Cricetulus griseus: one gene and its partners. The protein of the gene in region 1 interacts with the protein of each later gene in a biochemical or structural test. Links are inferred from orthologs where the notes say so. Each region holds a gene or a part of one and is shown on either strand. Other genes may lie near its edges.

The links. The genes of interacting proteins can lie anywhere in the genome.
Region 2: the proteins of Jup (region 1) and Cdh1 form a complex in vitro, tested with the Homo sapiens proteins (2 studies listed by BioGRID). The link is inferred for Cricetulus griseus from reciprocal best matches to the Homo sapiens genes JUP and CDH1.
Region 3: the proteins of Jup (region 1) and desmoglein-1-alpha form a complex in vitro, tested with the Homo sapiens proteins (2 studies listed by BioGRID and IntAct). The link is inferred for Cricetulus griseus from reciprocal best matches to the Homo sapiens genes JUP and DSG1.
Region 4: the proteins of Jup (region 1) and Ctnna1 form a complex in vitro, tested with the Homo sapiens proteins (2 studies listed by BioGRID). The link is inferred for Cricetulus griseus from reciprocal best matches to the Homo sapiens genes JUP and CTNNA1.

The regions. Positions count from the first base shown.
Region 1 is NC_048600.1:113,430,451-113,435,629, forward strand, and holds the end of Jup (junction plakoglobin), read right to left. Parts: intron 4,951-5,179; coding exon 4,800-4,950; intron 4,690-4,799; coding exon 4,568-4,689; intron 2,974-4,567; coding exon 2,934-2,973; intron 2,751-2,933; coding exon 2,599-2,750; 3' UTR 2,585-2,598; intron 1,840-2,584; 3' UTR 1,012-1,839; downstream 1-1,011. UniProt on the Homo sapiens protein: Common junctional plaque protein. The membrane-associated plaques are architectural elements in an important strategic position to influence the arrangement and function of both the cytoskeleton and the cells within the tissue.
Region 2 is NC_048596.1:182,967,238-182,972,079, forward strand, and holds part of Cdh1 (cadherin-1), read left to right. Parts: intron 1-4,186; coding exon 4,187-4,330; intron 4,331-4,433; coding exon 4,434-4,589; intron 4,590-4,842.
Region 3 is NC_048595.1:216,590,473-216,595,314, forward strand, and holds part of desmoglein-1-alpha, read right to left. Parts: intron 4,333-4,842; coding exon 4,297-4,332; intron 3,821-4,296; coding exon 3,689-3,820; intron 2,360-3,688; coding exon 2,204-2,359; intron 481-2,203; coding exon 336-480; intron 1-335. UniProt on the Homo sapiens protein: Component of intercellular desmosome junctions. Involved in the interaction of plaque proteins and intermediate filaments mediating cell-cell adhesion.
Region 4 is NC_048595.1:202,266,215-202,271,056, reverse strand, and holds part of Ctnna1 (catenin alpha-1), read left to right. Parts: intron 1-912; coding exon 913-1,113; intron 1,114-1,663; coding exon 1,664-1,815; intron 1,816-4,842. UniProt on the Homo sapiens protein: Associates with the cytoplasmic domain of a variety of cadherins. The association of catenins to cadherins produces a complex which is linked to the actin filament network, and which seems to be of primary importance for cadherins cell-adhesion properties.

The sequences.
Region 1 (5,179 bases):
CTACACTGAGCTACAACACAGTTCTATTTTATAGATAAGGAAATCAAAGGTTCCAATAATTGGCTTTCTCGGGGCTGTGAGAAAGCCTACATGAAAATGGACCATTGATGCTACATTAATCTACGTGCCCTTTTCAGCCAGGCTGCTGGGAAGCTCAGAGTTCCAGCTCAGTCATGGCTAGAATTAACCTTCAATCTTTCTGCAAAGGTTTTGCCGCCTTCTCTGCTCTTTTGTCCTTGCTGCCTGTTAAGGGGCTGGAGACTGATTCTTCCTTGATAGCCACCTCACATCCTCTTTGGGGTGGGGAGATCTCTCTGTGTCTTTCTTGGCATCTCTAGATCACTTTGCTCTGTGCTGGGCAGCTAGAGAGAACACAAGCATCCTCTCTGGTTTCTGCCTGGGCCCATCAGCCATAGATGCAGGATACTACTGCATCCACTAGGCCTAGCTTACATCATCTCTTTCCAGGTGCTATCCTCTCCCTTGCTGTTTCCCCGAACGGGGGGGGGGGGGGGGAGAGTTCGAGCCCAGGAGACATGAAAGAGCGGAGAGGGTGTGACCACCACTGAGCATAGTGAGCAGCAAGGAGTCATGGAGAGCTGGGCAGGAGCTGGGATGGGCCTGCTACTGGCCAACAAGAAGCCTGGATTAGCAAGTGTTAGGCAGCAGAGAGCTGGGGTTGAGATATCTGTCATAATCATATTACAGCACGGTGGCAGAGGCTGAGGCGAGCAAGCAGCTTGCCTGTGGAGCAAACTAGCCATGTGTCAATAAAGCAGAAGCTCTTCTGTCCCCTATTCTATGTCCTAGACTCCTAAGGTGCTATGTGACTAGGGAATTAAATCATTAAATGGACTGCAGCTCTTCAAACACTCCCCTCTCTCCATTTGCCTCCCCAGCCCTGAGGACATACAAGGCTCAGCCAAGAGGTATTCCAGGCTGCTAGGAGAGGCCCCTCACCCCTACAGTACTCCTTAATTCCCCTATACCATAATACTCTAACAGCAGCCATTGGATCTGTGTGTTATTTTATTTTCTTTGCTTTGGTCTATACAAAAACAAAAAGAAAAGAAAAACCAATAACCAAAAACATAAAGCAATCATAATAAAACTCTCTGATGGGGCTCCCCCACCTTGCAGTCCCCCCAAACCCATGTGCAGGAGGCAGTGTGGGAGTCAAACAGGAAGGAGAGGAAAAGCCCCTCACCACACCAGAGGGGTGAGCTAGAGCACTTGTGCAGGTCAGCTGGGCTAGTGGAGGGCAGGGTGAGAGGGGGCTTTGCCAAGAGCTCCCTTGGAGAGGAGCAAAGCAGACTTAGCATCTTGGAGAGAAGGGCAGGTCCTGGAGGGGGTACTTGGAGTCCCCACTCTCTTTCCCTGGAAGGTTACCAAACTTTTCAAAAAAAAGCTTCAGATGTCAGGAGTTTGTTGGGGCTTTGAACCTGTTTGTGTCTTGGATATCCCAGATGGGGGCAGTTGGATGCTGAAGTTCAGTGAGAAATTGGCCCCAGGGGAAAAAAAAAAAAAAAAAAAAAAAAAAGGAAGCCCGGGAGGGCCAGGCAGCTGGAGTAGAGCTGAGAGGGTTGCTGTGCAAGGGCACCGGCTGAGTCTAAAGCTTTAGTGGCCATAGCCATAGTGGGGACGGGAGAAGGTGCTGGGTGGGCCTGGATCCACAGCCCAGGGCAGAAAAGCGGGAGCAGACACCATCCCAAGAAACGCTATGGAGGAACTCTCTGGAGCATGGGTTCAGCAGGAAGTCCAGGCTGGCTCCTGGGGCTCGGGTACTTTTCTGTCTCCTCCCACAGTCTGCTCGAGAGCTTTCCAGGTGAGAAACAGCTCCTGCGGGGCAGGTAGACACAGGGATCATCAGGTGCTTGCTTGGCAGGCCTGCATCCCCTAGAATCGCTCAGGTTGCTATTGTGACACCTGCCTACCACTCCCGAAAAACTGGCCTTTCTCCTTATTTGCTTAAAAGTAGCTGGAGGGGCAGGATCTGGGTGCCAAACAAGGGACAAGTACAAAGGAGCGAGCCTCCAGCGGTGCAGCTCCTTATGGGGCTGAAGCAGAAAGATCCTAAGTTCAAGGCATGCCTGGCTGGGCTCCAGACTGAGTTAAAGGCTAGTTTAACCAGACTATTTCAATTTAACGGAAGGCAAAACCAGGGCTGGGATGCACTCCAGTGGTAGAGCACTTGCCTAGCACACACAAAGTTCCAGGTTCAATTCCCAGTGTGACAAAAGGGGGAAAAGGGTGACAAAAAAAGGCATGACGATGTCACCAAGGCTGGGGAAAAGCCATAGATTTGAGGCCAGCCTGGGCTACATAGTGAATTTTAGGCCAGCCTGAAACAGAGTAAAACCTTGTCAATGATAATAATAATATTATCATCATAATAAAGGTGGGCCAGAGCACAACAGATTAAAAAGCTTAGGACTCCCAAATGCCTTCTCCACCCCACCGAAGCCAGGGTTTACAGCCCAGAATGGAAAGGTCCCCACCAGACCATTCAGAGAGGAAAAGCAGGTGTCACTATAACCACAGCTACAGGGAGAGGGCAAGGCTGCAAGACAGGAAGGGGCCATACTGAGGTGGAGCCAGCTAGGCCAGCATGTGGTCTGCAGTGGGGTAGGGAGGCCTCAGGCCGTCACTGTAGGTGTCCATGGGGTAGTCCCCATCCATGTCCATATGCATATCCAGGGGGTCCAGAGGCACATCGCTGGAGTACATGGGACGGTAGGTGGCATCCATGTCTGGGGATGAAAAAGGAAGGCTTGTCCAGGGATCTGCAGACCATACATGGCAGCAGAGTAGGCCCACTGCACACACACACCCCCCCACACTTCAGGGATGTAAAGTGGAACCCAACAGCCACCATGAGTTTCCATTCTCACCCACACAGCCACTGGCTCTCGGGTGGCGCTCCACACACTTACCATCCGCGTAGGGTTCATTGATTGGGATCATACTCTGGGCCTGAGGAAGGACAGAAAGACATAGGAGGTGTGGGAAAATATCCTCTGCACTGCCTTTCCACCAAAGGACAGAGAGGTGCTCCAAGCAAGGGGTCAGGAGACCCCTCAGAGGAGGAAAAGAAAGCACCAGTGTCCCTGGGCCCTGCCCTGGGTAGAGGTCTCACCACTAATGCCTTGGGCTCCCACAAGCCAGAGCAGCTATGGGGAGGGAGTGGAGGTAAGAAGTGCAGGTAGGGTGCACCTGGATAATTTGCACAGTACCTGTGTGCAAATTAGAACAAGGCAACCCTGGATGTAGGTGTAAGTCAGTGGCAGAGTACCTGTCCAGCATATCCAAGGCCCTAGGTTCCATTCCCGACACACACACACACACACACACACACACACACACAGAGTGAGAGCACCCATTCTCAAATCCTTTATCTTCATGGGGGTAAAAGAGATACATAGCTGGGAATAGTGGGGTAGCTCACGCCTGAGATCCCAGGACTTGGGAGACTGAGGCAGGAGGATTGGTGCAAATTCCAGGCTAGCCTGGGGGTACAGAGCGAGACTGTGCAATGCCTGACTATCTCAAAACACCACCCAGGGCTGTAGATACAGCTCAGCGGTAGAGTCCCTGCAGGGCATGCACAGGGCCCTGGTATGACCCCCAGCACTGGAAAAAAAAAAAAAAAGCCAAGCAAACGAACAAAAGCATACACACAAACTAAAACAAAAACCAGACATAATTCAATCTACTACCTCTATGTCATAAAGGACCCCATTGTAAAATAAAATAAAAATCTAGCCAGGCATGACACCCTTAAATCAGAGTATTTGAGAGGTGGAGTCCGGAGGATTAAGAGTTCAAAATCAGCTGGGCAGTGGTGGTGCACACACCTTTAATCCCGGCACTCAGGAGGCAGAGGCACACAGAGGCCAGCCTGGTCTACAGAACAAGTTCCAGGACAGACTCTAAAGGTACTCTAAAGAAACCTGGTCTCAAAAAACAAAAACAAAAAACAAGAGTTCAAAATCAGGGGGCTGGAGAGATGGTTCGGTGGTTAAGAGCATGGATGCACTTCTAGAGGTCCTGAGTTCAATTCCCAACAACCACATAGTGGCTCACAACCATCTATAATGGAATCTGATGCCCTCTTCTGTTATTCGGGCACACATGCAAATAGATATAAACAAATCTAAAAAAAAAGTAACTGGGATTGGCATATAAAATTAAAAAAAAAAGTTCAAAATCCAGCCAGATAGTGGTGCACACACCGTTAGTCCCAGCACCCCAGCACTAGGGAGGCAGAGGCAGCTGAGTTTGAGTTTGTATTTCAGCCTGGTCTACAGAGCTAATTCTAGGTTAGCCAGGGCTACACAAAGAAACCCTGTCTCAAAAACAAAACAAAACAAACAAAAAATCACCCTTGAGATGAATATTGAGTTAGAGGCTATCCTGGGCTACACAAGACTATATACCAAAAACAAACAAACCCCAAATATCTGAAAACTAAACTTACATCTCTGAGGTCAGCTAAGCCTCCTCAGAGATCAATGAGCTGCCCCCACGCAGTCTGTTCAATCAGACGTTCAAGCCCAGTCATACTCACAGCCTCCCAGGCAGCTGGGTCGTGCTTGAAGAGCGAGTTGGTGAGCTCCACAGACACTCGCTTCCGGTAATCTGGGTTCTTGTCCTCCGAGATGCGGAACAGGACAGCGGCGGCATAGGTCGCTGAGCAGAGAGGGAAGTGAGGTCCAAGTCAGAGGCTGCCCCTACCATGGCGGGAGGAATAGAGCCCAGCCTCCTCCCTTGGGCGCTTGCCCACAGTCTCAGCCCCTCACCGGTGCCCTCATTGCGGGAGTGGAGCAGTTCCATGAGAGGGGCAGAGGCGCCCTCCGCATCGATGGCGTCAGCAGCCTCCTTGTCCTGGGCCAGCTCACACAGCACTCCGGCAGCCACACGCTGGATGTTCTCCACGGAGGAATACAGGAGCTAGGAGAGAGGACACAGGTGGACGGGAGACGGGAGATAAGCCACGCTGGGTACCAACAGCGCTGCCCACCCTCTCCCTGTCCAGCCATCTTAGAAAGTAGAAAAATAAAGTGGAAAATGCAGACCAGCATCAGTCCCTGACCACTGTGTTTTTACCACAGTCTATCATTACACACTATACACGCTTTTGTGTGTGTGTCTGGGTGCCGGAGTATATGAGCACAAGTGT
Region 2 (4,842 bases), on another chromosome or scaffold:
CCCCAGCTCCCAAATGTATCTTCTTGGTTTTATATATTTCTGGGCACAAAAATATGTTAAAGGAAAAAGAATTAAAAAAAAAATAAGATTTTTTTTTGTTCTTTCTTTCTTTCTTTCTTTCTTTCCTTCCTTCCTTCCTTTTCTTTGAAACAGGGTTTCTCTGTGTAGCTTTGGAGCCTATCCTGGCACTCGCTCTGGAGACCAGGCTGGCCTTGAACTCACAGAGATCCACCTGCCTCTGCCTCCTGAGTGCTGGGATTAAAGGCGTGTGGCCACCAACACCCAGCCGATTTTTAATTTTTATTGTATGTATATAGTTGTTTTTCCTGCATATATATTTGGGTATCACATGTATGCCTGCTACCTGTGGAGGCTGGAAAAGGGTATGGGATCCCCTGGAACTAAAGTTACAGATGGTTTTAAGTTTCTGCATGGGTGCTGGGAATTGAACCCATAATGTCTGTAAGAACAGCGAGTGCTCTTAACTGTTGAGGCTCTTAAATGCTGAGCCATCTCTCTAGCCCCTAAGTTTTGGATTTAATAAGAAAGGAAAAATTTGAGAGTAAGGTTAATTCCAACACTTGGGAGGCAGGGAAGAAGGGTTTGTATGACTTCAAGGCCAGCCAGAACTATATTGCAAGACTCTGTCTCAAAAATAAAGAACCAGCTGGGCGTTGGTGGTGCACGCCTTTAGTCCTAGCACTCGGGAGGCAGATCTCTGTGAGTATGAGACCAGCCTGGTCTACAAGAGCTAGTTCCAGGACAGCCTCCAAAGCCACAGAGAAACCCTGTCTCAAAAAATAAAAACAAACAAATAAATAAACAAAAACAAACAAACAAAGAACCAAATATGGTGGGTCATGATTTAATCCTAACATTTAGAAATCTAAGAGAGGTTTGTTGTGAGTTTGAGAGCAGCCTGAGCTATATAGTAAATTCTAGACCAGCCTGAGCTACAGAGTAAAGCTCTGTCTCAAAAAAGCAAAGCTACCTGGCCATGATGACACATGCCTTTAATTCAGGCACTCTGGAGGCAGAGGCAGGTGGATCTCTGTGAGTTCAAGGCCAGTCTGGTCTACATAGAGAGTTCCAGGATAGCCAAGGTGGTTGGTTGCATAGTATCAAAAAAGCAAACCAGTCATGCAAAATAATAAATAAATAAATAAATAACACAAAACAACAAACCAGAGTACAAAGAGAAAATGGAAGAATGTCTTGGAATGGTTGCACAGACTTGTAATATCAGGCTGAGGCAGAAGGATTGTAAGTTCCAGGCGAAACTCAGCCATACAAAACAAGACTTTGTATCACTCACAAAGTGAAGGCTTAGGAGGTGCAGCACTTGCTTTGTATAAGCTTGAGGACCTTAAGTGTGAATTCCCAAAACCCATACTAAGCTGAGTGAAGTGGTATGGGTCTGTAGATCCAGGAAAGTGACACTCATGGGCTAGCTAGCCTGGTGTGCACAGTGACAAAAAACTGAGAGACTGAGGCTGTCCTCTGATCAACACACACCTGTGATAATCGTTACATGCAAGCACACTGGAATCTAACTTTCTAGTTCTTTCCCTTTGTCTGGTTGAGTTTTCTCATGTTCGGAATGTTTAGGCATGATTCTCCTTTTGCCCTCACACACACAAGTTACTCACCATTTATTACCCATCTCTGTGAATACCCTGCAGCTTGGCAAGGTGGGACCTTTATCTTCCTTTTCAATATGGCCAGTCTCTAGCTGTTCATTGTGACTGTGTCATATGGCCATTTGAAGGCTTAGAGTGTGGTGTTGATGGGCAGTTTCTTAAATTCTTCTTGCACTGGAGTTAAATCCCCCCCCCCCCAAATATTATGTCAGTGTTTTCCAACCATGGTCATCTTCATTACTGAACACTTGCTGTGTTTCAGGTACTACTCTAGATACTTTATATGTAAACAAGTATCATTTAGTCCTTCCAAGCTCTCTAGGACATTGGCACCAATACCAAAATCTCAGTTTTAGCCTGAGCGGTGTCATACACCTCTAGTACCAACACTTGGAAAGTAGAGACAGGTAGATTTCTAGGAGTTAGAGGCCAGCCTGGTTTACATAGTGACTTTCAGGGCAGCCAGGGCTACACTGTGAAGCAGGCCCTATCTCAACAAAACAAAACAAATGCCCACTTTAGACATTGGGACAGTTCACCCAGAGGTTATGAGATCCCCTCTGGAGGCAGATGGGGAGCTATACTGAGAATTAAAAGCTAGCTGGCCAGCCCCTAGCCCATGGTGGCTTTCTTCTGTAGTTGACAAATGAAAGGATGGTAAGGGCAGAGTGTGTAGGATGTGTGTGTTTATGTGACAGGTCTGTGGGAATGGGTTCTAGAATCCCGGGTCACATTTTATGTTTTAGATCTTAGAAGAAAAGCAACAAAAACAGAAGGGCTGAATATACAAAAATGTAGCTCAATTGGTAAAGTCCTTGCCTAGCATGCATGAGGCCCTGGCTTCTGTTCCCCGCCACCACATGGACAGCATGGTGGCACGTGTCTGTCATCTGTGATAGGTGGAGGAAGAAGAGCTGAAGGTCAAGATCATCCTTGGCTACACAGCTTGAAGCCAGAGAATGTTTCTAAAAGAACGCCCAAACAAACAAGCAAAAAGGAAATAGGGCTTGATTAGAACTTGGCAGGCTATATAGTCTCTGATAAATGAGTATCTCCCCATGAAAGGAGAGGGTGAAATCTTCTAGAACTTTGTTACCTTGAGTCATTCTAAAACACTTAAGCAATTTAGGAGGCATTTTCCTTTCGTCTTCAGCTCTCTTATTTCCCTGAGTGTGCATGAAATTATCTTTATTGCACATTGGAACTGTTCAATACCAGTCTCCAGGTTATTTTTGTTTCCCATCCCAGCAGCTTCTGTTAGAACAAATGGAACCCTTAGAGATAGGACACAATAAGATTAACACATTTGTATTGATCTCAAAGTAGTTCTTAGTAGCAATTCCCCAAACTTAAACAAGTTTGGTAAATTAAACAAGATTGATAACTCCACTTAGAGAACTATATCCCTAGATATTTGGGAGTCCAGAACTAAATCCCCTCTGATATTATCGGAGTATAATGCCATTTAAAGGACACGTATTACATAAGCCTGAAATAACTTCTATTTATTTATTTATTTTTGGTTTTTCGAGAGACGGTTTCTCTGTGGCTTTGGAGGTTGTCCTGTAACTAGCTCTTGTAGAGCAGGCTGGTCTTGAACTCACAGAGATCCACCTGCTTCTGCCTCCCAAGTTCTGGGATTAAAGGGGTGTGCCAACACTGCCTGGCTGAAATAACTTTTAAATGCAATTGTCAAATTTCACACCCACAAATTGTGTAGATGCACAGTGGTTATTTGAATTCTGGATATTAAGAATTTAAAGAGCTCAGCCTAGTGGTGATCATGCATGACTTTAATCCTAGCACTGGAGGCAAAGGCAGGCAAATCTCTTGAGTTCAAGGCCAGGGTAAGTTCCAGGACAACTAGGGCTACACAGAAAAACCTTGTCTTGAAAGCCACAAAAAAAAAAAAAAAAAAAAAAAAAAAAGAAAAGAAAAAAAGAAAAGAAAAAAAGAAAAGAAAAAAAGAAAAGAAAAGAAAAAGAATTTAAGGAAAATATAGTTATTTGTTATATGGCTGTATTAGTTAGCCTTCTGACACTATAACAAAATTCCTGGGGCAATTGACTTAAAATAAAAGGTTTTACTTGGGTTTTTGTTCTGGAGGTTTAAGACCAAATAACATTGTAATTTTGTCCTCTGGTAAGGGCAGCACATCAGAGTGGGAACATATAGGAGAACAACCAATTGTCTTATAATACAAAAAGCAAAGCAGAGACTGGAGTCTCACGGTATGCTTCAAGGAAATATCTCCTGTGGTCTGAAGACCTCTCATTGGCCACTAAGCTAGGACCTAAGCTTTCAAGCACAGGGAACATTATTGGCAGCCAGTGTCCAAACAATAGCATTGTCAGGAATTCTTTGGTTTATGTTTCAGCTCTTCATTTTGGATGGTACACAGAATTTGCTATTGAGATTGAGTCCTTAAATTCAAATGTACACCACCTTTAGAAGATGGGAGACATCAGTGGGATAGATTGAACTGTTAGACCTGTGTTGTGTGTCTTCTAAATTACTTCATTTTTGTTAATCTTCTTTCCTCTTAGGACCCTGTCTCTGGATCCCAACCAGAAATGCTCACATTTCCCAGCTCTCACCAGGGTCCCAGAAGACAGAAACGAGACTGGGTTATCCCCCCCATCAGCTGCCCGGAAAATGAGAAGGGCCCATTTCCTAAAAACTTGGTTCAGGTATGGAAGGACTGAGAGAAGAGAAAATGAAAGGATTCAATGTCAAGACTTTTTTTTTTTTTTTTTTTTTGCCAATTCTGTTTCTTTTCTGTTTTGTGTTCAGATCAAATCCAATAGGGACAAAGAAACCACGGTTTTCTACAGCATCACTGGCCAAGGAGCTGACAGACCCCCTGTTGGTGTGTTTATCATTGAGAGAGAATCAGGCTGGCTGAAAGTGACAGAGCCTCTGGATAGAGAAAATATTGCCAAGTACATTGTGAGTATTTCTTAGATACTTGATGATCATTGGGTAACAAGTGTCAAGTTTGGGGGGCAACCCATGTTTTATCCCTAGGCCACATACATGCCTTGGCTGTGTGAGTAACTTAACTTACCCCTTGACGTGTTGATAATGTGAAGCCAAGAGAATAATTTGGGATGGTTAGTTGCTTTGTTTCCTTATAGGAGAAAAGCAGGAAATCCTCACACCATACATGAGCATAGATAGAAGTTGTCAAAGCGGGGGTGGA
Region 3 (4,842 bases), on another chromosome or scaffold:
GTAAGGATGATAATCACCTGTGAGTGGGATTGCTTTTCAACACACTAGGGCAGAGAGAAAATTCTCATCCCTTTGAGCCTGTCACTACTATGCAGATTTTGTTGGGAGTTTTTGCAAGACTCTCCTAGGAGCTAGACCTTGAGGCATGAGTGTGAATTCCACTTGTTCCTTTGGAGGTACTCCTGGACTGACACTGGAGCTTTTTCCTGAGTTGTTGGTTCTGGATGCTTTCTACCTCCCAGTTGATGTTTACCTTGACACTGCTCAGCCCAGTTGCCTAGCAACAGTAATTTAGTCATCAACACAATGTTTCTTTAGTTGTACAGGTGACTCACTTGCATTAGAATTTTCTTCTATTTGTCCTGTAAATGTAGTCATGGAAAACACAGGAGGGTTGTCATTTATATCCATAACCCTGACTCTAAGCTCCAGTGGGTTCTCCAAATCTTGACCTTGTGCATTCAATGCTCGGCAGTAGATCTAGATATGAAAGAAAAGGATCCCTGGTGAGTTACACATTTGTAAGTTCTTACAGGTGGAGGTATTGTCTTGGTAACATGTAGGATTAAGGAATACCATATTATTATTCCCCATTAAAATATAGACATGAACAACACACATAATCAGTAAGAAAAGGCAAACAAGAGCATAAAATGCCAGTTTATAAAGGTAAACTGATGCATTAGATAAAGGAAATGTTGCAGCTTCTATGTTTAAAATCAAGAGAAAGAGTACCAGGGGAAGGACACCAGAGAACACGGCCAGCAAGAATCAGAGGAGCACTTTGAAAACAATGTGGCATTCTTAAGTGCTGGGGCGGTTGTTTGTTTTATTATTACTGCTTCCCTTGAGAAGACCTATAATGTGTATTATTTCACAGAGGCCATCTCTGTGTAACAGTGAATTGTGTACTGCTTTGCTGATTTATTGAATTTGTAGGGAGACACTGTGGAGGGCAGAAGTCAAGAATACAGATATGAAATTGGAGGCTCAGGAATTAAAGTAGTTCTAGGAATGCAGATGTGCAGTGTGAATTAACACAGCAAGGACTAAACAATATTTGGAGGTAGTTTGAAATATTATATCTTATCAAGGCTGGAGACTGAATCTAGTCTTTTACACACAATAAAAAATGCTTGGCCACTAGGTTAAATCCTCAGATGTTTGATGAGATTTTAATTGAAGAGATCACAAGTTCATTAGAAGATTATCATTATCATTATTATTGGTTTTTTGAGATAGGGTTTCTCTGTGTAGTTCTGGTTGTCCGGGAACTTGTTTTGTAGACCAGGCTGGCCTCGAACTCACAGAGATCTGCCTGCCTCCACATCCCAAGTGCTGGGATTAAAGACATGCATCACTACCGCCCAGCTTATTTTATTTTTTTTCTTGATTAAGAAGTGTTAGCTATGACCATAGAGGGAAATGAAGGCAGTGAATGACTAAGGAGAATAGAAGGGGGAAAGGCGATGACAGGATAATGCTCTTCAAGAGACAAGTAACAACAGGGTGACAGACATGTCATGGGAAAGTTCCGGGAAAGCAAAAATTGATCATGCTTTTAGAAGCAGTAAGAAATGTATCTGAGTGAGAAGTGAATGTTCTGTGTGTATGTATGGGAGGTGTCAGGACAGGGGATCGTGGCTTGGTTTGGAGGTGAGATGCTTAAGGAGAAGTGAGGTGAGACATTAAAAGACAGGCTGCTTAAGTTGTGTGACAACTTCTACAAGAAAAGGAGACTGGGGGTGGGGAGGACAGAGAGAGACTAAGGATGAGTGAGTTTTCAAATTTCTTTTAGGGCTCAGATGATCTTGAACAGTGTAACGTTATGATGAAGTATGTCCATATGGAACAAATAGCCTCCAGGAGCTCCAGGCTTATCACTTGGCACTGGAGTTAAAAGGAAGCATCAATTTCCACGGATTTTCTTTTTTAAGATAGAACAAAAGCTAAAGATTTACCCTTCCAAGCAAATAATCTAATTTGTCATGGAGCTGATGTTAATTAGCATTTTTTTGCTAGCACATAAAGAAAATGTTTCTATATTATTATTTTTTATCTATTGGGGTACCAGTGAATTCAGAAAGATTTGAATCTCAGAAAGCCAGATTTGGGGAGTCTTGAAATCAAATCTAGTATGGTCTAAAATTTTTCTAAGAATAATTTACATCTGCATACAGATGTTGACACAAAGCCCACTTACAATAAAAAAGGGGGTGACTTCCCGATCAACGATGGATGTTATATTAATTTCACCAGTTTTTTGATTAATAACGAAGATTCCATAAGGTGGCTGGTCAATTCCTACTCCAGAGATGCGGTACGTCACTTGCTGGTTTGCGGCACAGTCAGAATGAATCTGTACAAAGACACAGGAGAAGATGTTACAGGAGCCATGTGGACATCCACATGTGACATATGACAATGTTTTCCTTGAGAATTGTTGAATGTGCCATTTGTGGTATCACTTGGGAAGTGTTAAAAACAGGGAAATGATCTTTAGTAATAGGTATGTGGTCAGTGTGCATTCTTAATGGTAAATAGCAATGTAATGAGATAATCCCATTTCTATGTCTTTTTTTATTTTGTTTGTTTATCTTTGTTTTAGTTTTTTTAAGACAGGGTTTCTCTGTCTTAAACAGCCCTGGCTGTCCTGGAACTTGCTTTGTAGACCAGGCTGGCCTTGTACTCACAGAGATGTGTCTGCCTCTAACTCTCGAGTGCTGTGCAAAAGGAGTGCCCCACTATGCCAGCCCTATTTCTATGTCTACCAAACAATAAAGAAACAAATGCTACTCTAAGAAGTCTTTATAGCTGCTGTGCATAGATCCCATAATCATTAAACATTTATAATTTTATTTTTGTATTAGTTTTAGATTCTATTCTAGCTTCGTCCAGGGTAGGTTATTTCTTGCTTTCTTGGAGAGTTTTATATCAAATATATATTATTTTATAATGTTGATTTTTAAATCAAAAACAACTTTAAAAATACTAAGATTCAAAAAATGTTTAAGTAGATTTTTGTAGTAACAAATTATTTGAAACTTTTAATTCTGAAAGTGGTAAAGAAAAGGAAAGAGCCCACTCTAATAAAAGATTATAAAGTAAAAAAAATTGTAGAGTCTAGCTTTTTGTCCATGTAAATATCATATGAATATAAGTAAATCTTACAAGGCAGTTTCCATATCCATCTGTGTGAATGCTTGTACTTGTATCTGTGTATATCTCTCTTTATATGTCGATGGGAGTGAATCTGTGTGTGTGTAGGGAATAACTTCCTGAGTTTGTGCTTTTGTGTATGAAGAAAGAAAAAACCAGAGGAATTTGAGGTTATGAATGAGGCATGCTTTGAACCTTATATATATAGACAAATAGAAGTTAAGTCAAAGCAGAGAGAGCACGTACTCTCAGCATGCTGAACTCTATCTGTAAACCATGGTTGTTTTGGAGTATAGCATAACAATTATTCATGTGGACTACTACCAATGAGTTGAGACAATGTTTAGTTGCTAATCCAAGTACACAACTTCATTGGTTTATCCCTTTAGGAATTTTAGTTTTCATAATTTGAATGGGGAGGTGCTGTTAGGTCCCATGTGTGCACAAAGCACATAAAAGCTGGGCCCTTCCAGAACTGTGACCCTGTCTAGTGTGCTGTTTAGATCCATGCTTTGGGGTTGACACTTACTTTGGCAATAGGGTTTCTTTTTGAGTTGTCTTCACCTTCCCGACAAGCTGCAGCAAACTTAATCCACTCACGTTTCTGCCTTCTGATGGTGTGCCAACTGATGGTACCATTTTTGGCGTTATGGTCTCTTACCTTAAATAGGTAAAATACAGTGTCCATTAACTATTAACTTACTCTTACTGGTATTCAACTGAAGATTCGGGGGGGAAGAGTAATTATGTCAGGAAGAAAAGATGGTAAAATGGAAAATTAAGAATTCTGATAATATTAACATTTACAATTGTAACAATGTAGTAATTTTGTATTTAGAAGAACAAGGATTTTCTTGTCATTGTTCTTGAATATTTGTTGTCATTGCTAATCTATATTTTCCTTTGATATGCTCCCTCTTCCTCCATCTCCCCCACTTTCCCTTTTCTGTTTTTGTTTCGTTTTGTTTGTTTATTGTATGATTTTGAAACAGAGTTTCTTTATGTAGCTCAGACTGGCTTCTAATCCACAATCTTCATGCCTCAGTTTTAGGAATGCTGGGATTACAGACATGCACTACCATTCCTGGCCTTTTTAATTTTCAGTGTGGGAAAAAAAAGAGGTTTGCTTTTTATTACCTGGATATGAAATTCACTGTTAACTTCAAGCACCACCTGTAAAAAAACAAAAAACAATCACAATAGTTCATTTTTAATGAGTGTTTTCAATTCTATGTGAACCAATAACTAAAAACACATAAAATAAAACCAAACAATGCAGGTGTGGGCTAACTTAATGGCAGTAGATGTTCCTTAGCTGTATTTTTCCTGACTTGGGAACTTCTCCCTACACTAAAGAATGTGCTGCTGAGTAGAGCTCCATTTAAGTGGAGTGCCAGATTTGATATCAGAATATATTAAATTATTTTTAATCTTAAAATTGCAGTCATTTCTTAAAACACCAATATTCACATATCAAAGTAGCATTCTGTGTATTTGTTTAAGATGTGGCAAATGCATATTTAAAAGTTAAGCTCTTTTTTACATTCATTGTTTTAAAGTGCATGGAGGATCAGTTTTGTAAATAACTTTTCCAATAAGAGGTATGGAACTTCTAATTGAGTTTTTTTCATAACAGCAAAACCTGAAACCCATGCTCATAATCAGATGTTAGCACTGATATTA
Region 4 (4,842 bases), on another chromosome or scaffold:
GCTATGCCACACACTGTTGTTGGCAGGATACCATGTCTTTAACTGACATAACTTCCAAGAGCTGTCATGTGTCCCAGGAAAGGAGAAGGTCATGTTGCCACCCACTGCAGCCCCTTCGTGTGCGCTGGTACACCCCCTTCTGGTCTGCCTGTACAGCTCAGTCTCTACTCACGGTGCCTGGGCACACCTTGCAGCTTGCTCCTCTAAGCACAGTTCCTCCCGCCATTTGACTTGCTTCCCCTTTGCTATGACAGATGAGATTGGAAGTACTTGCTCTGGGGTTTCTGAAAACAGTGTCAGGCTTTGGAAGGAAATGGTTTGGGGTATTTAAATCAAGCTATGTGCCTAGAAGGAGCTTCTTGTCAGTTAGCTGGATTCCCAGGTTTCCCTCTCTCAAGACTACAGGTGTCACACCAAATGTTTTCATTTCAGATGTATTCTCTCAGTGCCCTAGAGGGTTAAACCTGCTTTTCAGTGCCCTCTGATTTTGGTCTTGCTGTCTCCTAAATATTATTGACATCTCCTGGAAGGAGAGGAAACACTGGATGGGTACAGGCTAATAGTGAATTGTTCTTCTGAGTTAGACTGTTAGTGACATTTGTTCAATGACAGTCAACAAAGGTGGTGTGCTTGTTTTTATTACATTACTTATTTGGGGTATGGGTGCTCATGCCATGGTGTTTTTGAAGGACAGAGGACAAGTTGCAGAAGTTGGTTCAAACTCTAGATTCTAGCTCCACCCTCCTGAATGCCAACATGCCAATGTGTGCCTGTGCCCAGCCTTGCATACAAAACTTTTGGTATATGTGGTTGGCACCAAGCCTGTCTTCTGTACATAGAACATGCCATGTTACTATGTCACCCTCTAGTAGAAGATCTGATCCTTCATTCAGCTTTTTGCTTATTCCTCAGAGAATCACATTTTGGAGGATGTGAACAAGTGTGTCATTGCTCTCCAAGAGAAAGATGTGGATGGGCTGGACCGCACTGCTGGCGCCATTCGGGGCCGGGCAGCTCGAGTCATCCATGTAGTCACCTCAGAGATGGACAACTATGAACCAGGAGTTTATACAGAAAAGGTTCTGGAAGCCACCAAGCTCCTCTCCAACACAGGTCTGAGAACTGTCTTCTGTCCTAGTGTTCTCCCTGGTCCTCACTATGGCTTGGCTCTGACATCATTCCACATCTTGTGGATTGTACAGAACTCAGCTCTGGTTTTACACACACTGGGTGGCTCATCTTACTAGTAAGAAGTTGGTTATTAGGCAGCTCATGAACACATAAGTCTTTAAGGTGGGTCCTTCCTCCTGAAGTGTTGGGGATTGAACCCAGAACCTCTTACATGCTGGCCAAGCACTCAGCTACTATCCCAACCTGTTGTAAGTCCCATTGTTAAGGTCTCAAGGTAGTGTCATTTCAAGTTCTCAGTCACTCAATCCTAGATCACAGAGTCTGGTGAGAAGATGGTTGAGTCCTTGCAAAATATTGTCTGTTAGTCACCTATAAACGCCAAGGTTTATTTTGCTGGTGAGTACTGGGCACAAGAGTAGAAACACAAAGATCTTTGTCATGAGCTTCACTCTTCTGCCTGTTCAAGGACTCAGGAAAATGTTGGTAGAGTGCTGTCTGCTTAGGGTGACCTGCCTGCCTCTTGTCTCCATAGTCATGCCACGGTTCACTGAGCAAGTGGAAGCAGCTGTGGAAGCCCTCAGCTCAGACCCAGCCCAGCCTATGGATGAGAATGAGTTTATTGATGCCTCCCGACTGGTTTACGATGGCATCCGGGACATCAGGAAAGCAGTGCTGATGATAAGGGTGAATAACTACATTCTAGACATTTCAACAGCTTCTTTCTTATCATTTGATAACTTGACCAGTGTGTCATTTTGAAACTCAGCAGATCCAGTGGCCCTGTAGTGAAACCACAGATCCAAGAGCTGGTAAAATGAGAAAGAACCCAAAAATGGATCGAAAAAAGAAAATAAGATGGGCTTGATGAATTAAGAATTAATTTAGGAAATTTAGTTCAATAAACATAGATTAGCTTGGGTTACAGGGGAAACTACAGGAAATAGTCTCTTTAATTTCAGAGAAGCAGCTTTTTCTTAAAATAGGTAAAGTTCCTGTACTCCTCTCCAGAAGAAACTTTCCTCTCCTTGAAGGGAAGCCCAGGCAGGAGGTTAGACTCTGTTCAGGATAAGGAGTGGATGCTCCATGGCTCATGGCCAAGTGCTGAGCCAAGTGGAAGTACTGCCTCTGAGTCTTTGTCACCCATCTCAGAAAAGGCAGCAGAAGGTCCTATGGAGTTGGGTGGGATGGGTCTCTGAAACTGCAGTTTCTTCCATCAAACATGTCTTGGGCCTGTGTCTCCCAAACTGCCTTTTCCGTCGCTGTGGATCTCTTGCATGTTGCTCTGTCTGTGTTCCACCCCCAGTTTGTTGCAGGCTTGCAGAAGGGGCATTTGGAATACATTGCCCACCTGCTGCATTGCTGGAGCTTTGACTGCTGTCGTGTAGTTCAGTCCACTGACTTTCATTAATACCCGCATGGTTTGGCTAGACAGGGGCCCTATCTACTTTCTTACCCCTCTTCCTAGACTGCAGAAGTTAACCGCAGTGCCAGTTGGAACCATGTTCAAGACTTGCTGCATCCATTTTGTATGCAGCATTGAAACACTTAGGAAGACCACCATTCTGTGCATGAAGCAGGACAGCTGCCCATCAGCCCCAAGCACACTGGGAAGAGGAATGGTTGTGGGTGGAGCTACAAGATAGCAGAGGCTTCAGTCTTTGAGTGGGCCGGAGATGCTTTAGTGGATGAAGGTGTCTGCCACCAAACCATGAGGCCCGTTTGACCCTCAGGACCATCTCCCACAGGTTGTTCTCTGAGTTCCACATGTACAAAATAGATTAAAATGCCACTAAAAAGGTATTTTTTAAAGTTAAGGCAGAAGAATCTATCTCCTATAGAGGCTGGTCTGAGTTAACCATGGCAGCCAGTGGCTATAATATGGTATTAGTGGGTCCCAAGGCTACATATACTCCAGGGAGGCACACAGTTCTGCTTGTGTGTCCTGAAGCCATGTTAAAGCCAATGGGATCAAAGCTATGTAGTGTTCCCTAGGAGGTGACTCAAACCTAGAATACCACTTTGAAGAAGCAGTCTGGGTACTGGGAAAGCTCATCCTGAGAGCAGGCAGGTACCTTAGATGCCTCCTCCAAAATAATTCCTCTGTCTGTTACATCATTTTCTTCTCTTTACTGGGGAGCTGGAGTGATGGTGGTTCAGTGGTTAAAAGCACTGGTACTCTTTTGAGAGTTTGGACACCCATGTGGTGCCTCAGAACCATCTGAAACTCAGTCCCAGGGGATCCCATGCCCTCTTCTGGCCTACAGGTATGCCATACATGAATGAGGCATAACTCTCATACACATACAATAATTGTTTTAAAAAGTAATGGCTTTATTGAATGAAAAATGGCAGTGTTTTCAGCACAGTTCACTGCCTCTGGCTTCTTTCTTTCTTTCTCTATATGATCATGTCCCCCTTTGGGGGCGGCAGGGCCACAACATACCTCTCAGCCCCTCTGTATATCAGTCTCCTTGTCAGGGAAGCCCTGGTCTCTTCTCTTTGCCTGCATTTCTTTGTAAAAATGCGCTTTCTTTAGAGGCTGATTTTGCTCGTTTTCATACTTAAGTAGCCAACCCAGCCTCTGAAGCCAGATTACTCAGTGGTTAACTCCCCTGATCAAACAGCAAGTTTGGTTGGTTTTATCTTCCCTTTCGGGAATATGAATGTGGTCCCTTAGCGCAGTGCATCTCAGTCAATTCGTGTTGTCTGCTGTTCCATACTCTCCTAAGGTTCCACACCACTTGTCCTCTGCTGATCTTCCCTTGGCTCAGAGTCACCTGAGCTGGGATCCAGCCAGTGAGCCAAATCACTCTTCTGTTACTTGCTACTTCCTCAGTCTACCAACACCAGTCCTCCCACAAGACCTGTCTTTCCCTGTTTCCCATCAGCAGGATGGCTCTCTGTTCATGGCTCTGGAGTAAGTCATATAGTTGACTCCTGGTGCTTCCTGTTAGAATAGGTGAGTGAGTGAACACCAGCAGTCTGCAGCTAGAGCTCAGAGGTTCTGAACAGGACTCTAGAGCCCCATGCTGACAGGATCTTTATGGCTCTGTGGTACCTTGTGATTCCTGCCCCCTACTGTTCTCACTTCTCTAGGGGTAGGCCCAACCTTTCCCTGTCAGAATACAAGCTCATGTCACTGAGTGCTTCCTACATGTTCTGTCATTTGATCCTCACAGCAAGGCCCTGGGCATGGCTTGGCTCAGGGCCCAGTGGAGAGGAGGTCTCACTGCCCTCCTGTCACAGACTGGTCGTCTGGGCCAAAAGCCAACCCCAGCTGTCTTGCCTGTCGTCCTTCCTGATAACTGTGTCAATCAGTAGCTAATCAGGAGAGGCTGGGGTTGTACAAAACACAGATTTTGCCCAATAGTTAAAGCAGAAAGCAAGCAGTAGTCAGTGCCTTTGGTGTGCACGGAACTCTCATCTGCTGCATTCTCCTTTCCTTGGATAGAAAGAAAGTAGGACTTTAGGAATCATAGATTACCTTGTTTTATTCCTCTAAATTGCCTTTGGCACTCAGAGAGAAATCCCAGTATTAATTTATGTCCTTTTCTTGTCATAAGGTGGGACTTGAGTGAGATTGTTCTATGTTGTATAAAACATACCCGCTGTAAAGACTTTTGACCAAGGGTGGTTTTTACCTTCATGTGCAGATGCAGATCCCTTGGGAAACTGCATTGAAGTGAAGTCTTTGTTACAGCAAGCCTTGAT